Linked DNA regions of Rhinolophus ferrumequinum. The protein of the gene in region 1 binds, or shares a complex with, the protein of each later gene. Links are inferred from orthologs where the notes say so. Each region holds a gene or a part of one and is shown in the gene's direction. Other genes may lie near its edges. The genes, in order: FZD4 and NDP.

What was found.
Region 2: the proteins of FZD4 (region 1) and NDP are in contact, whole or in part, in a crystal structure (PDB 5BQE), measured with the Homo sapiens proteins. The link is inferred for Rhinolophus ferrumequinum from reciprocal best matches to the Homo sapiens genes FZD4 and NDP. Residues at the interface, in NP_036325.2 of Homo sapiens: Ser51, Met52, Gln54, Asn55, Leu56, Gly57, Gln95, Phe96, Met105, Thr107, Lys109, Ile114, Asn152, His154, Met157, Cys158, Met159, Glu160, Gly161, Pro162; in NP_000257.1 of Homo sapiens: Asp33, Ser34, Pro36, Arg38, Met40, Arg41, His42, His43, Tyr44, Val45, Asp46, Lys58, Met59, Val60, Leu61, Lys102, Lys104, Leu106, Tyr122, Leu124, Ser125.

What each region holds. Positions count from the first base shown.
Region 1 is NC_046294.1:59,627,911-59,635,577, reverse strand, and holds the start of FZD4 (frizzled-4), read left to right. Parts: upstream 1-4,178; 5' UTR 4,179-4,497; coding exon 4,498-4,782; intron 4,783-7,160; coding exon 7,161-7,667. UniProt on the Homo sapiens protein: Receptor for Wnt proteins.
Region 2 is NC_046284.1:89,627,314-89,635,519, forward strand, and holds the start of NDP (norrin), read left to right. Parts: upstream 1-5,010; 5' UTR 5,011-5,323; intron 5,324-8,206. UniProt on the Homo sapiens protein: Activates the canonical Wnt signaling pathway through FZD4 and LRP5 coreceptor.

The sequences.
Region 1 (7,667 bases):
TGACTGACAACCACGGACATGAAATGAGGTTGTGGAGGTACAAAGTGCATTTACATTATTTTTTGCCTCCGGCAAAGGCTCTTGGTTGCCCATCTATATATTAAACCAACAAATAAGAATGTCCCATGTACCATCTTATGTGTGGTGGGAGGAATAGGGCTTTGAGTCCTTGATATGCAAAAGCTCTGTGGTCACCAGATTCTTCTCTGCTGACTAGTGGTACAATGGACGAGAAGGTTTGGCTCTGCCACTTAAGAGCTGTTTATTAACCCCTTGGGGCCTCTCATTCCTCGACTTTGAGCAAGATTCCTGTTCCCTTCTGCTTTACTTAGTATACACGTTTTTGTTTCATAACAGTTTGGGTGCAGGGGAAGATGTAGCACCCAGACTATCTATCAACGGATGGGATGTGGCACGGCTTCTCCCTGTGCTCCTATGTTCCCCGGTAAACTCGCAATCCTTATGAGGTTTTAGTCCCAGTGAATTCTCCCCTCCAAAACTGAAAAGGATAATTAGGAACCACTTTCTTGCATTTTCTATCAAGACAGCTCATTGTGAGTTCTAAATGTTCCGTCCAGATTCAAAGAAGCTGGTTTCTCCATGAGTGGTTGGAATAAGACTTTTCTTGGAAGCTACTGAATATGGATTAGTTGGATTGTTTTGCAGAAAGTAAAAAGCAGGCTGTGGTGACTACTTCAGCACTTAATTGGGTTAGCAAAAAGCTGCAAATGAGAGGTTTTCCTTAGGAGGGAAAGGATGTTTACGCCCCCCCCACACCCCTTCGCAGGTGGTGGATGTTAACCTAAACCCTACTCTTCCAATGCAGTCTTTAATTTAGGAATCATTACAAGAATCTATTAGAGCAGAAGATGTCAGGTTGAAAAATTAACACATCACAGGAGTTAATTAGAATCTAGCCTCTCATTAGATGCAAATGGAGAGCCCTCCAACTGCCCACCAGCCCCCTGAAGTCATGTTTGTTGCAGCTCCAAAGTGTGCCGCGTGCATCTTCACTACTCTGAGAGCGATGGAGGAAGCTGTCCAGGCACTCAGGCGAGAGCCACTAGGGGTCACGGCCTGCCCTTTAGGTTCATAGAAGGTCCTATTCCCATGTCCCTATCTCCTACTCCTCTCCTAAACGCTCTGCATGTCACAGGGGGGATAGCCCTCTACCTGGAAGTATTTTCTGCAACAAAGACAAACATGCCATGCCTGTCACCAGGAGCAGACTGGCGACTATAAACCGCTCTGTGAGAGGGAGACTGAGGGGCTCCAGGCCATTCAGACTTAGCTCTAAGTTGTGGTCTTTGTTTTCTTTCCACATTCAGACTGAAATGTGATTCCCCTGGCTTTCTTTTTTGGAAAATACCTGCCATGAGCTCCATGCCGGGAAAGAAAAGCTGTTGACAGGAAAAGCTTCTGACCGGGAAGAGGCTTCTTCTTTGAGTGTTCTCAAAGGAGACAGTTGCTTCAAGCAACCTGAGGCAGGGATGCCAGGGCCAGGTATAAGAGGCCCAGATCACAAAAGGGTCATCTTTACGGAGTAAATTGAGTGTCAAGAGTTTCCTCTATGGGAGCAGTACCGTGCACTCCCTGCACACAGACTTTTGGGCCAGACAGACATGCAACTGCGTCCTTCTCTGTCACTTACTGTGTGATCTTGGGCAAATTGCTTAACCTCTCAGAACATCAGTTTTCTCAAGTTGTGCAAAATAAATGAGATAATACGTATGTTAAACATGTTACATAGTATCTGGCACAGAGTACAGGTTCTAGATGAGTTATTTGTTACTGATTTGATAATAGTATTCCTTCACCCAACACTAATGATATTCCCTCTGTGTATCAGACCCTGTGTTATGGAGGTCATTGTTTAATAAACCGTGTACACATACATTTAGCACAAAGCAAACCCCCTTCCCCTCCCTGTAAGTGCCCCAGGAGACGTGCCAGTTGCACACTAACTCCGCTTTGTGGAGTAGCTCAGAATCCTGCAGGTCATCCCTCTTTGAGCAGCCCTCCAAACTTAGCACCTCTACTTTCAATTTGCCCCCGATTCTCTCTCTGTGCACTTATCACACTGAGTTACAGTTATCTGTTTATTCTCTGTCTCTTCCTGCGAGTTCCTAGAGGGTGGGGATCTTCTATTTATTTGACACATGCATCTAATCATTTAGTCATCACTGTAGGCCAATGGTCTCATGTATTACTCAGCCCAGGCATACAGAGCATTCGACCCTACTGCTGAGTATGTAGATTTTCAGCTGGGAACTCTTCTGGGGAAACAACCCAATTTCCCACCTTTGAAAGGCCTCTCGTGAGCCCTGGTTTGGTTGATCTTTCATTTTCTAACTATCCCTTTGGTTCTAGCCTCAGTTTCTTCATATCTTCAAGGCACTAATGGAGTCTCCTTCCCTGGGAGGTGATGATGATGGCTGGAGATAACGCAGCCTGTATGTGCCCCAAACAGTTCTAAGCACAGAGCCAGATACCAAAAATGTTGATTCCATTCTTGCCCTCAGCCAAGTTTATTTGCCAATGTAAGAAAACTAAAAATACAAAACAGAATATGAGCACCACATTTAGTGGTACACACATCCCTCCAACTTACATACAGCCTCTGCCATTTGACAGACTTAGCTGAAATGGTAGGACACAAACACGCATAAAAACGTTGTCCCTGTCACCGAGCCCTAGGTAAACAGTGGCAAGTGTGGGACAAAAAGATCTCAGAAAAAAAGGAAAGCTCTTCACCAGATCCTCAGACCTGGGCTGCTGGAGATACCGTTTGGCACCATGCTGGCAAGCAGGAGGCTGTCCCACAATAACCAAGGTATTTAGCACTTACTGTGTGCCAGACACTGTGTGAAATGATTTACAGGCATTCTCTCATTTAATTCTTAGAACTACTGTGTGGGGTAGACGGGAACTGCCTCATTTATAGTAGATGGCCAATTTGAGGCTCAGAGACATGCAATAACTTGACCACAGTAAAGTAACAAGTAAATGGTTTAGGAATCCACCTGCTGAGGGTTTCACTGGCTCAGCTGGAAATGGGACAGGGTGAACTAACACAAAGCTGCGTCCCAGGGGGTGGGGGTAGGAAGACCTAGGAATGAGAGGGGAAAGTTGGATCCAAAACACCGGTCGCGTGATCCGCTGGACCCTACGCAGGAGCAGAATAAATTAGAAAGAGATGCAGGCTTCAGAGGAGGGATGCCTGGGACACTGGGAGAAGGGAACACCGGTGGCTGTGCGCCTTCTTGGCCCCCCTCACCCCCCTCCTCTTGCACAGGTCAAGCCTCTCCCCTCCAGCCCTCTCACCCTCCCAACCTTATTTAGAAACCGTGTCCCCGAGACAGGAAGGGCGGCGGGCCGAGAAGCACGGAGCGTCCCGGTCTCATTTCCTTTCGAATCCCCCTGTGGAATTTCATTTCATACGGTGAGGAAATCGGAGCGGGAGACCGTCGGCTGGTCGGCTGCTCCCGGGCGCCTCCCCCACTCGCGGCTGGAGACAGGCCCCTCTCGAGCGCGGGTCGGCCCAGCCTGGGGGCGGGGAGAGGGGGGCCGGGCTTCCAACCCAGCGAGTTAGGAGTGAAAATAGCTGCGAGCTCTCGCTGTACTAGGCGCCGTGCTAAGCATTTTACGCATTCTCTCTAATCCTCCTAATTCTCTTCACGGATGAGGAAACCGACGCCCAGAGGTTGAGCAATTTGCTCAAGTTCACACAGCTGGGGTTTAAAGTCACAATCTTTGTAAATCCAAATCCCGTGTTCTTTGTGTACGTTTCTCTGCCTGACGGGGAGGTGGCCACCGGCGGATGTGACAGCTGGAAGGAGTAAAGGCAAGGGAGCCGACCTATCTGGGAGCATTTCTCACCTGGAAGAGGAGGGGGCAGGCTCGCCCGGCCGGAGCAACTCGGCTCCATCCCTGCCTGGCCCTTGAACGCCACGAACCCGGTGGGAGCAAAGCGAGAGCGGGGAAGCAGGGCGGGGCGCTCAGGAGAGGGAAAGGAGGGACCGCGGAGAGCCGCCGGAGGGCGGGGCCTGACCCCTCCTGCCGCAGAGAGGCCCCGCCCCCCGCTGCCCACGGCGCCGGCCATTGGGGAGGTGCGCTGTCCGTCTCGCTCCACTACCGCCCAGCGAACCCCTAGCACCGCGGAGGGCTTGAGCAGTTAGAGCGGCGCGGCGCTGGGTGCTGGCGGGCTTCGGGGAGACTCCGTGCGGACACGGCCCGCGTCGGGTCGGGGGCTCGCCGCCTGCAGCCATGACCCTCGCATTCTGTCCCTCGGCTCTGGCCCTGGAAGTCTAATATCCCACACAGTTGCGCGCAGCTGCTGGAAAGCCGCCGCTGCCCCCTCATCGCCCTTGGAACCGTATCACACTCTGCCCAGGAGCTGGGAGCAGCGCGGGCAGTCAGCGCCCGGGTGCAAACTGGGGGTGTCTGCTGGAGCAGCCCCCGCCGCCGCCACCGCCGCTGCTGCCCTAGGCTCTGGCCATGGCCTGGCGGGGCGCAGGGCCGAGCGTCCTGGGGGCGCCCGGGGGCGTCAGTCTCAGTCTGCGGCTGCTGCTGCTGTTGCCGCTGCTCCTGGGGTCGGCTTGGGGCTTCGGGGACGAGGAAGAGCGGCGCTGCGACCCCATCCGCATCTCCATGTGCCAGAACCTGGGCTACAACGTGACCAAGATGCCCAACCTGGTTGGGCACGAGCTGCAGACGGACGCCGAGCTGCAGCTGACAACTTTCACGCCGCTCATCCAGTACGGCTGCTCCAGCCAGCTGCAGGTGGGCGCCCCCACCCCCACCCCTGGCGGGACCCCTTGGGCAGGGATACCCGAAACTAACTCCCTGAAGCCCTTGCCATGTCGAGCCCCCTGACCCTTTCCTAGGCTGAAGGGTATAACTATCCTGAAAAAATGACTTCCATCCCTACCCCCACTTTTCTGTCCCTTCTCAGGGACTGGGAAGCCAAAAACGTTGTGTAAGTCATCTGGCCTGCGAAAGAACCCACTCTTACACCCCGCCCTTCCGTTTTTCTCCCCTGCCCACCCGTGTCTGGCCAAGCCCCTAACCCCAGTGGAGCTGAGGGTTATCTTTGCCAAGGACTCTGGCCGCCGCTGCTCAGTGGGCGAGTCCCCGGCAGGGCAGCCAGCTGCAACTAAGACTTGGAGGAGAGATAAGGAACTGGGAACCTCTCCCTCACCGACCTCGTTTCTCCCCCATATTTTTGGGTGGTTTATGAAATGAAACAACACTGCGCGGTTTTCTGCGGAATGGCCCCTCCTCAGGTCGTCCTGCATGACTTTAGAGGTCACTCAGGAAGGAATGGTTGGATTGGCTTGAGTTCATTTGTTCTTCAGGGTGGAGGGCAGGTTTAGTACTTGGAGGGGGAGAAAACACAGCTTGGGAAAAAAGTGATGGTATGGTTAAGCTCCAAGAAGAAGGTAATTTGTATATTGAAAGATTATCATTGTTATTTTTTTGCAGTCATTAACAATTTTAAAGCTTATGTAATGATACAAAAGATGTTCATCCTACAGCAGTAAGTGAAGAAAGAATTTGCATATACTGGGTGATTATAATCTTCCAAAAACAACAACCAATTCATTGGAAAAGAAAAAGAATTGAAAGGACGTTTTAAAAAGTGTTAACACTGGTTTCATTTTGTTTGGCGAGGCTATGAGTGATTTTAAGAAGTTTAGAAAAGAGAGAAGTTGGGGGGAAAAAATAGGGGATAGTTGTCCAGGCTAAAAGCTTCCAATATCTGTGGTTCTGGTTGCAACTTCTGAGAGATAAGAAACAAGCATGCAGCTTACTTACTAGGTGCATGTCATATACACAAATATACCGTGTTTCTCCGAAAATAAGACCTAGCCAATCAGCTCTAATTTGTCTTTTGGAGCAAAAATTAATATAAGACCCAGTCTTATAGTAAAATAAAACTGGGTCTTATATTAATTTTTAATTTTTGCTCCAAAAGTTGCATTAGATCTAATGGTCCAGCTAGATCTTATTTTCGGGGAAACATGGTGTGTGTGAGTGTGTGTGTGTGTGTGTGTGTGTGTGTGTATAAAATTTTAAAAGTTTTTTCAGAACTTTTATGTTTCTATGTTTTCAGAAAGATGGTTGGGATTAGACCCATTGCTGGTGAAATGTCCCTTGGGAAGTTTCAGAACTTTAGAACTAGGTTATAAAAGCTTAAGAAATGATCCTCTAGCTCTCAGTTTGGAAACAGAACATATCCTGACATCAGTGGCAATTTTGTTGGAGAAACAGCTTTTGCGGGGATATATATTTTTAATTACATGTATCCTGGGGAAGCAGCCAAGCTGTTTTGAAGGACAAGACTGGATCCCTTTTCATGCTGGAAAATAGTTACTTGTAACTCTAGACTTCATAGACAACATCTGTAAGGAGCCAAGCAGACTGTTTATCAATGCTGGAGGAATTGAGGACAGCAACTGGACTCTCCCCTACTGGTATTGCAGTTTCAGGGACTTAACATTTATATTTTCCTATTGTGCTTTATTATTATTCATTATGGAAACCTGGCCAAACAAACCCCAGGCGACCAGAGAACTTAACCTGCATCCTATTCTTGGGTGTAACAGTGTCTTAATTAGGACACTTTCTCTTTCACTGTGGGACTGATTAAAAAATAATTTTAAGGGATAAAATATAGAAAAGAGAGAATATTAACAGGAGAAAATCTGGATCTACCTATTTTTTAACATTTACTTTTCTGGTGATAAAGAAATGGGGATAGAAATAAGTCACCCCAATCATCGAAATGACTGAGTCATTTGATTGGTCTGTTCTGCTCTTTCAAATGGTAGCTGAAAAAGAAGGGAGACAAAGTCAGTTTTTTAAGGTTTATTTCTTTTAAGTGTTGTGCAAAAAGGGATTATATATTTCTTTGGGTCCTTTTTATACATTTTTATTTATGTTCTGGGAAGGATTACTAGGACCAAAAGAAGAAAAGTGAGTAAGTGACAGATTATCAGGCCCTCTTGTTTGAGGGCAGCATAAATGTTCGGCCTCCCTATAGGCTGGTTTAAAAGTAGATGTGTACTTTGACTGGAAGTGTATAACTCAGCTTTGTGCAAGCATTCGATCATGCTTCCAAGTCACAGTTTCCTTTGTTCATTTCATTACTTTTCCAGTTCTTCCTTTGTTCTGTGTATGTGCCAATGTGCACAGAGAAGATCAACATCCCCATTGGCCCATGCGGTGGCATGTGTCTTTCGGTCAAGAGACGCTGTGAACCTGTCCTAAAGGAATTTGGATTTGCCTGGCCGGAGAGCCTGAACTGCAGCAAATTCCCACCACAGAATGACCACAACCACATGTGCATGGAAGGGCCAGGTGACGAGGAAGTGCCCTTACCTCACAAAACCCCCATCCAGCCTGGGGAAGAATGCCATTCCGTGGGAACCAATTCCGATCAGTACATCTGGGTGAAAAGGAGCCTGAACTGCGTTCTCAAGTGTGGCTACGACGCTGGCTTATACAGCCGCTCGGCCAAGGAGTTCACCGATATCTGGATGGCCGTGTGGGCCAGCCTGTGCTTCATCTCCACCGCCTTCACAGTGCTGACCTTCCTGATCGATTCTTCCCGGTTTTCCTACCCTGAGCGCCCCATCATATTTCTCAGTATGTGCTATAATATT
Region 2 (8,206 bases), on another chromosome or scaffold:
TCCTACCACCCTTGCCCTCTCATTCTGTTCCAGCCATCTTGGCATCCATGCTTAAGAAGTTTGCTCTTAGCACTTAAATTCAGATGTCACCTCTACAGAAAGACTAACTCTGGTCACCCTATTAACTCAGCCCTCTTCCTACACTATATTAATTACTTTCTCATTAATGTTTCATTTTCCTCATAGCATTTGTCACATTCTGTAGTCATCTTATGTATATATTATCTCTCTCACAGAGGCAGATACTAGTTATGTACCCATTACTATTCATACTCTTTTACCAGTAAAAATTTGACTGTGTCTAGTCTGCCATGTACCCAGCCCAAGGGCATGGGTCATGATCAGGCCAGGCCAGTCATAAAAATGTTTCCCTTTGCAGAGATTACTCTTGAGGTGGGAATATGGCCAGGTTCTGGTCAATAGGATGCAAGGGGAAACCCTTGGGGTTTCTGAAAAGATTTTCCTCCTGATAGAAGTAGATAAAAAGCAAGCTTTTGTCTCCTTCCCTCTTGACATCTGAATTTTGATGTGATTTCTAGAGTTCCACCAGCTATCTTGTGTCCATGAATTGACCTGCCAGAGAAAAACAGAAGCTGACAATGTTGAGCACGATGGAAGTGGAAGGAATTTAAGTTTTTAATAATACCATGGCCACTGTACCAACCCTACAGCTATTTACTTACTGAAGGAGCACCATAAATGTACTCATGTTTTAAGCCATTGATACTCAAGTTTTTATTATTTACCTTGAAAGTGTCTTTACTGATCTCTTCCTCCGTCATTACCATTGTCTGTCTTATCCAATGCTAGAACCCCTGGGTTAAGAACATCTGGCAGGTAGGAGGCACTGAAAGAATATTTGTTGAATGAATGTACGGATGAGTGAAAGTATCTATTTGCATCCTTGCCATGGTACCTATCTTTGCTCCTCTGCCTCAGTCTTATTCTTTCACTTGCATAGTCTCAGACTGCCTTTCCACTCTCCTTTTTAACCTCATCTGGACCCAGCTCCTAGCCTGTCTCCTCCTCTGCTCACCACATCCTCCAGGCTCACCATAGCATACATTTAGTCCCAGCCAAATGTCTGACTGTGTGCTCCTCCAAAAAACTCATATGCATCTTCAGGTTCCCACTCTATGGCTTTAAAGCCCAGACCCAGTGGAATTCTCCTGAATGCACCACTTTGATCTTATTGTAAATTTTGTTTTTCTTGTGACCCTATCACATTCTATCTTGCTGTGTGTTCAGAAGTTAACATTTCTCTCTTCATTACACTATCATAAGCATCTTAAGAACTATATCCATGTCCTACTTTACTTGTATTCTCCACAAATAACAGAGCATTACTATAAAATCACTGCTCAGTGAATTTTTGTTGAATGAGGGCAGCATGGTATAGTGGCTAAGCCATGGCCTTTTGGAGATGGGAAAGACAGAACTCATATCTATTTGCTTTCTGTGTCAACCACAGAGAAATCATTATCCTCTCAGAGCCTCAGTTTCTCCACTTATAAAATAGAGAATAATAGTATCTAACTTATAGGATTATTGTGTATCCCTCTGAAAGAGATTATGCATATAGAACATTTGGCACAGAGCCCAGCAGAGAGTACACTCCAATTAAATAGTGGTTATTGTCATTAGTAGGTATTTTTAATAAATACTATCATATTCATGAAGATGGTAAAGATTAGTATTCTCACAGATAATTATAAACCATACTTAGCAGACTATGCTGGTATGTTGGGATTTCATACACACACACACACACACACACACACACACACACCTCTATCTGTATCCATGTAGATATAATATCAAATGTTATTGCTTTTAATGAGTATCTTGATAAATATACACAGAGGGTGCCCCCAAACATGTATACACATTTTAAGAAAGGAAAAAAACTATTAAAATTGTAATACTCAATATATACCAAGAACAAAAGATGAATACAAGTCACGTTTGACTTCTGCAATTACAAGAGGTGCTCAGCGTGGTTACCATCAGCATCCAGACACTTCTGATTACTGCGAACTACTGCTTGAGCAACGTTGACCAAAGTGTACATGTGTATACATTTTTGGGCACCTCGAGATATATATATATATATATATATATATATATATATATATATATATATATATATATATATATATATATAATGGATCTTGTTATAAATTCACATGGAAATTCTCCACTTTCAAAATGTTATAGCAGAGTGACAGTGAATCTGAAACCGTTTGTTTGGGAAAGTAACTGAGAGGAAGTAGAGACTTCATTTCCAATTGCATGTTAATGATGTCAGTTTGCCTAACATTGGAAAATGCAATGTTCTGGCCAGAACTACTGGTTACCAACCTCAAAAACTGTCTCTAGCTAATTAAAGCAAAAAGTAATTTATTAGCAGGATCTTGGTGGGTGTGGTGATGGGGGCAGTCCACAGAATCACCAGGAAAGCTGGAGACCCAGGCTCATAAAATGGTGGCCAGAACGGATGCAGTCAAAAAAACCAGATTGGTTAGAATGCTGTCGTGGATGGACCCTGTATCCCCAGATAACCTGCTGTCACATGGCTGGGCTCTGTTGACCTCGGTGCTGGCTGCTACAACCTCTGGGCTCTCTATTCCAGTGTGACCATAGTGAATAACCTCTGACTGTCTGCATGCGTTGGCCACTCCGCCTGTCTGGCACATCTGGTGACCCAGGCTTGGTCAAACCTGGCCCTCCAGCTGCCCTGAGAAAGGGAGAGAAAACATTTGCTCCCTTCAGTTTCTGCAGGGAAGAGGCAGGTCCTGCCTCCTACCTGCTTTGGGATTACATATCCATCCAGGGGTGTTTGGATGTTGTATGACTCCTGTAAATATCCACTACAGCCACCAAGAAAGAGAGAGGCAACCTGGAAACAGTACCAGAAATAAAAAACTCAGGCGTGGTCCCTGGAAGAATTTCCCATCCAGATAATAGACATCTCCTTCTCCAAATTCTTCCCACCCCAAATGCATATGAAATAACAGCAGGAGTATTTTCATCACTTTTTGTGTAGATAGAAATTTAAAGAGAGCGCTTATTTCTCAGCAACATTAATAATGGCCAGTAAAGCAACTACACTTGGCACAGTGACCTTTCCAAAAAGCATGGTGATGTGCTAAAAAGAGTTGCTGTTGCCAGATAGCTATTGATAGGCTCAGGAACTGGTCCTCTGAAGCCCAACTGGTGGAGACAAAGCTTCCCTTTTGAAAGGGGCAGCAGATGGTATTCTTCGCCACCTCTGATAGAATAATGGCTGGAGACAGCAGTGGGGCTCCATCTGGGAGAGAGTTTATCTGTGGCCAAGCAGTCAATGTGTTTGCAATCTTTACACTTTCTGTGGTGTTCTTCCAGAAGCACAGATTATAGAAGGCTGGAAAATTCCAACCAGGAAGAACCACACCTTTTCATGTTACTTCAGAGCAGGTAGAGTGACTCTGAGAACCCAAAGGCAAAAGATACCAGGGCAGAGTGGGAGCATATGTTGAGAAAGCCACAAATTATTTAGTAGGAGAAATGAAAAGGTGGATGGACATCAAGTTCTGATATTTGAAAATGTTGGTAGCCAAAGAGTTTATTCTCTCTCCCAATCTGACCCACAATATTGAGCCAGAAAATGTGTTCATGACTATTTCTATGGCTCTTACTCAGCTATAAGTCATTTCCCCTTTCATATTATTTCCATTTTTCAGGCCCAATTTCCATTTGCTTTTTGATCTTCTGCTTTTAAGACAGTTAGCCAGTATCATCATCAGCCAAATGCCAGCTGTTTTTTTCAAGGCTTTGAACTTGTCATTTATCCTTTATCCTTGTAGGTGGATTCTGTTTGTGAATGGCTGGTCCCAAGTAGACAGGGATTTCCTGGTAGAGCAAAAGAAAAGGAACTTCTTATTATAGGGTAGATGTAAACCTGTAAATTTCAAGACACCCCCTATAAACATCAGTGAATGGAGTAAAGATTCTGGGGAAAAGTAACAATGTGATTATCAATCTATTAACGAATAATAAATGATGTGATACAGTTGAACATGACAGCTTCAGCATCAACAATTATACGGAGCTCCCAAGAGAAAGTTCTTCGTAAGTGTTATGATATATTTATTGTTCTGTGAAATATCATTTTTAATATGCTCAGTTTAATTCTTCATTAGTGTTAATAAAAAAATTATTCTGGGACTGGGTCCATCTGACATAAAATTTTATAAATGGTTCAATGGTTCTTTGTGTTTTCCACAAAAATTGCTGATAGTTTTCTGTCTTAATTTTAAGCTTCTTAAGGGCGAGAATTATGAAATATTTCCCTTTGTATTCCAATACCTCATAACTATTATTCAGCTAATAAGTGCTTAGCTCACACACATAGTTACATTTGCCATTTTTCTCCTAGTTATGGTGTGGTGGGTTGGCTTTACCTGTAAGTCTCACACTCACATATCTCAAGGAGTCAAGGCTTACACTTTCTTGTTTCTAAATCAGATCTAAAATTTTATTCTAAATGATGCAGATGAAGGCACTTATTAAAGTGCCATTGTGGATTTAATCATGGATACACTGCTAAAAATCATTTAATGGATGAGCAACTTAGAAAAGAACTCTCACCACCCACACACACTGTGATAAAAAAAAAGGGGGAGGGGGCAGCGTTTTGCACTTGCTTCAACAGCCTGAGTAGTTCTGAGTCCCATCTTTCTCCTCTCTTACTTAGATTTTTAACTTTATCCCAGGCAGCTGCTGAATCGTTAAACAGAATGCCACTCTGTCTTTGTATTTCTAAAACTATATGTCTTTATTGCGGACTGCACATCTTTATGGCAGCACAGGCTTGCCAAAGAATTAAATTCAAAATATTCATTCAGCCCCTTATTATTTCCATAATACCAAACAAAAATGGGGGGACTTCCTTGCCCTTGCTCTTCTATGTTGTTCCCATCGCAAGATGCTCCGTGGAAGGGAGCCGAGCAGTGGGCAGCGGCTGTGAGTCCCCGATAACGAGCGCCTCACATTTCCGTGGCATTCCCATTTGCTAGTGCGCTGCTGCGGCCGCATGCCTGATTGATATATGACTGCAATGGCACTTTTCCATTTGACATTCTCTCTCTCTCTCTCTCTCTTCCTCTCTCTCTCCCTCTCTCTCTCCCTGTGTCGCTTAAACAACAGTCCTAACTTTTGTGTGTTGCAAATATAAAAGGCAAGCCATGTGACAGAGGGACAGAAGAACAAAAGCATTTGGAAGTAACAGGACCTCTTTCTAGCTCTCAGAAAAGTCTGAAAGGAGCCCTGCGTTTCCCCCAAGGTAAGCAGGAAAACAAGCGCTGACGGCTTGCCTAGGAAATTACTTCTTTCCAAACCGAGCATTTCATCCTCCTCTCAGACAAAGAGACAACCTTTAAATACCACTTAAATTTGCATTAATTTAATTTGCATTAATCTGTAGCATGCTAGCATTGTGTTTTTTAAATGAACGTGTCTTTGAAGTCTGTGACAGAGCAGGAGAGCCTCACAGAGAGGCTGGAAAATCTCTTTTGGTTTGACTTAAAGAGATTTGATTTTCAAACTCTCTGTGTAGTTAGATGAAACTTTGTAATGGTTCTTATATTTGACCCTGTGAAAGGAGACTGAGAAGCCGACATGGATTCCTGAAACCCCAGTATCTTCCCCGCCGCCCTCATCCCTCTTACAATGGGGGCACTATTAACGCGGGCAAGCCTGCGAGTTTAAAAGCGCACTGTTTACTTTTATTACTACTTGTGTATGCTGCTGATGTCCTGCCAGGGCTCTGTCGGAGTGCTTAGGATGACTTCAAACAATAGGCAACATTTATTTCTAGCTTTCTGTGTCATGCTTTGCAGGAATCTTGTTCCTTTGCGCTCTTCTCCAAACCTGCAAGGACTTTGCTTCCATAGATGCAGTCAGGAGCACTGGGGAGAGAGGAGGATGGGTTGACAATATGATTTTGATTGGGCAAAAAGTCTGAGGAAATGCATGCTGTTTGCCTTGGCCTTATTGCAAAGGGTTATTTTTAGTAATCAGCTTGTTCCTGCAGCAGGACCGATGCTACGCTGTCTAAGCAGAGACCTGGAAAGGATGCTCTCAGCAGCACAGGGACCAGGACGTGTAAGAATGAATCCTACCTGAGGAAAATTTGGAGGATTCTTTCAAGCTCCTGAATATAAGTTCTCTCTTTAAATGAACAATTGGGCTGCAGGAGGCCTGAGCATAACTCTTTCTTGGGGGACTGGAAGTTTGACTGTGTGCAGAATATTAATGACTCAGAACGCCCTGTAACTGAGGCTCATTGTAATCAACGAGCTCAGAAAATCCTACATGAAAGAGGCAGACTCCTTTCTCTACTGAGATTCAGGTGCAGGAAAGGAATCTATTTGGCATGATGGGAGTCCCACATCCTATTCTTTGCAACTGTCATTAATAACAGATATGGATGCTGCGAAAGATGTCCTTTTCATTTCTAATATTAGTGTATTTTAATTACAATGAGCTGGCATTGGCAACTTGCTCCAACACATAATATTAAATACCAGGTGCACTTGAAAACATAGAGATGCCTAAAATGCAGTGTTAATTGTGGTGTCAACCAAATAAAGCGGGGACTGCAGATGTTTCTGGATTGTGTGTTTAGACGAAATGCAGATATCTGCCCATTTTCTTCTCACCCATCTGGCTTCTGGAAGTAACTTTAGGGTTCTGTCGATCAGTTTTCATTGTGGAGTGGAGACATGGTTTATGTGGGAACCTTTCTGATTTTCTCTAATAATTAGCCTAACAAACATTGTTAAAAGAAAATCTAGCTTTTGGATGAGCTAATTTACAACTTTGGGATATTCACTCTTTGAGAAAGCCTAAGATCATGCTATGGATTCTATTGCTATACAATTTTACAGTGATTTTTTTTTTCCAAAAACTGCTGCTGTCAACAAGGCATTTAACCGAATCAAAACAGTTTTCTTAAACTGTTATTCAGATTATTATATAAGAGTGTCTGAACACAAAATGTAATGTTTTGCATCATTCATTTTAAAACGCATTTGGTTCAGGTAAAGGGAGAACTGGTTGAGGCTTTTTTGATGACTGTGTACCAAGCAGCTGACACTCACAGATGGAAACATGCCTGTGGAGTTTTCAATCTTAATATGAGTTCCAATGACAATGTCAAGGGAAAAATAAATCATTTTTCAATACATTTAACAATTTCCAACTCATTTATTTTCCTGGGACCTTGAAAAACATGGTGAGTTCCTCAGAATTATAGCCATCAATGGTGGCTGGCAATTTTTACTCCATTTTCAGAACTCACAGTTCAAGTACTATTATTCTTGTTGGTTAATTATTCATTCCATCATTCTTTTAATAAACTATGCTAGTCCTGATGATACAATGGTGAATGAGACATTGTCTCATGCCCTAATTCTCAGTGTATGTTATCTCCAGTTAGATTTTGGAACTGAAATGGACTTTGCCAATGGGTAAACTGGGCAATGACTTGCTTATTATAAGGCATTATTTAAAATATCTGCTAGTAGCCAGATTTACTTGAAATAATTGTCACTTATCAATGGGTTTTCTTTCCATTTATGATTAAGGGGTTCGCCTTAGGCCTTTATCACTGGATCCTGGGTACACATCACTTGCATAGCTAACATGGCCAGGATCTTTCCTGCCTGGGTAGAAGAAACCTGGAAAAAGGGCAGTTCATCTTTTCTCTAGTCTCTTGAACACCTTTTAGAAAGGACCACATGGTATCTTTATCAGGGATGGCTGCCCCTGATGTCAGCAGCTGACATTAGGGCCTCTTCATGAATCATTGAATTAGAAGCAAGTACAGAGGAAGATGCAGTCACTATCTTCCTCACTTGCTTATCCCACCCCCAGTATCGAAACCAATGACCTCTGGGCCTGGCCTAAATTCAAGAGGCCTCTGGGAAGAAGTTGCTGGAAGTTGTTCCTCAAACCCAGGTCTCTGTCAGAGCCACACACATTGTTGCTTTCAGATAATCCAGTCTCCTGCTTTCTGACATGGGTAGGTTACTGGAAAAAGAAAAAAAACAAAACAAAATCCTGAAGACAGCATCACCAGGGTCCTTGATTTGGTCCTTATCAGCAGATAATACCCGTGGTTGGATTAAAATGCCTCTGACTCCCTGGGGTGCCTGACTCACCC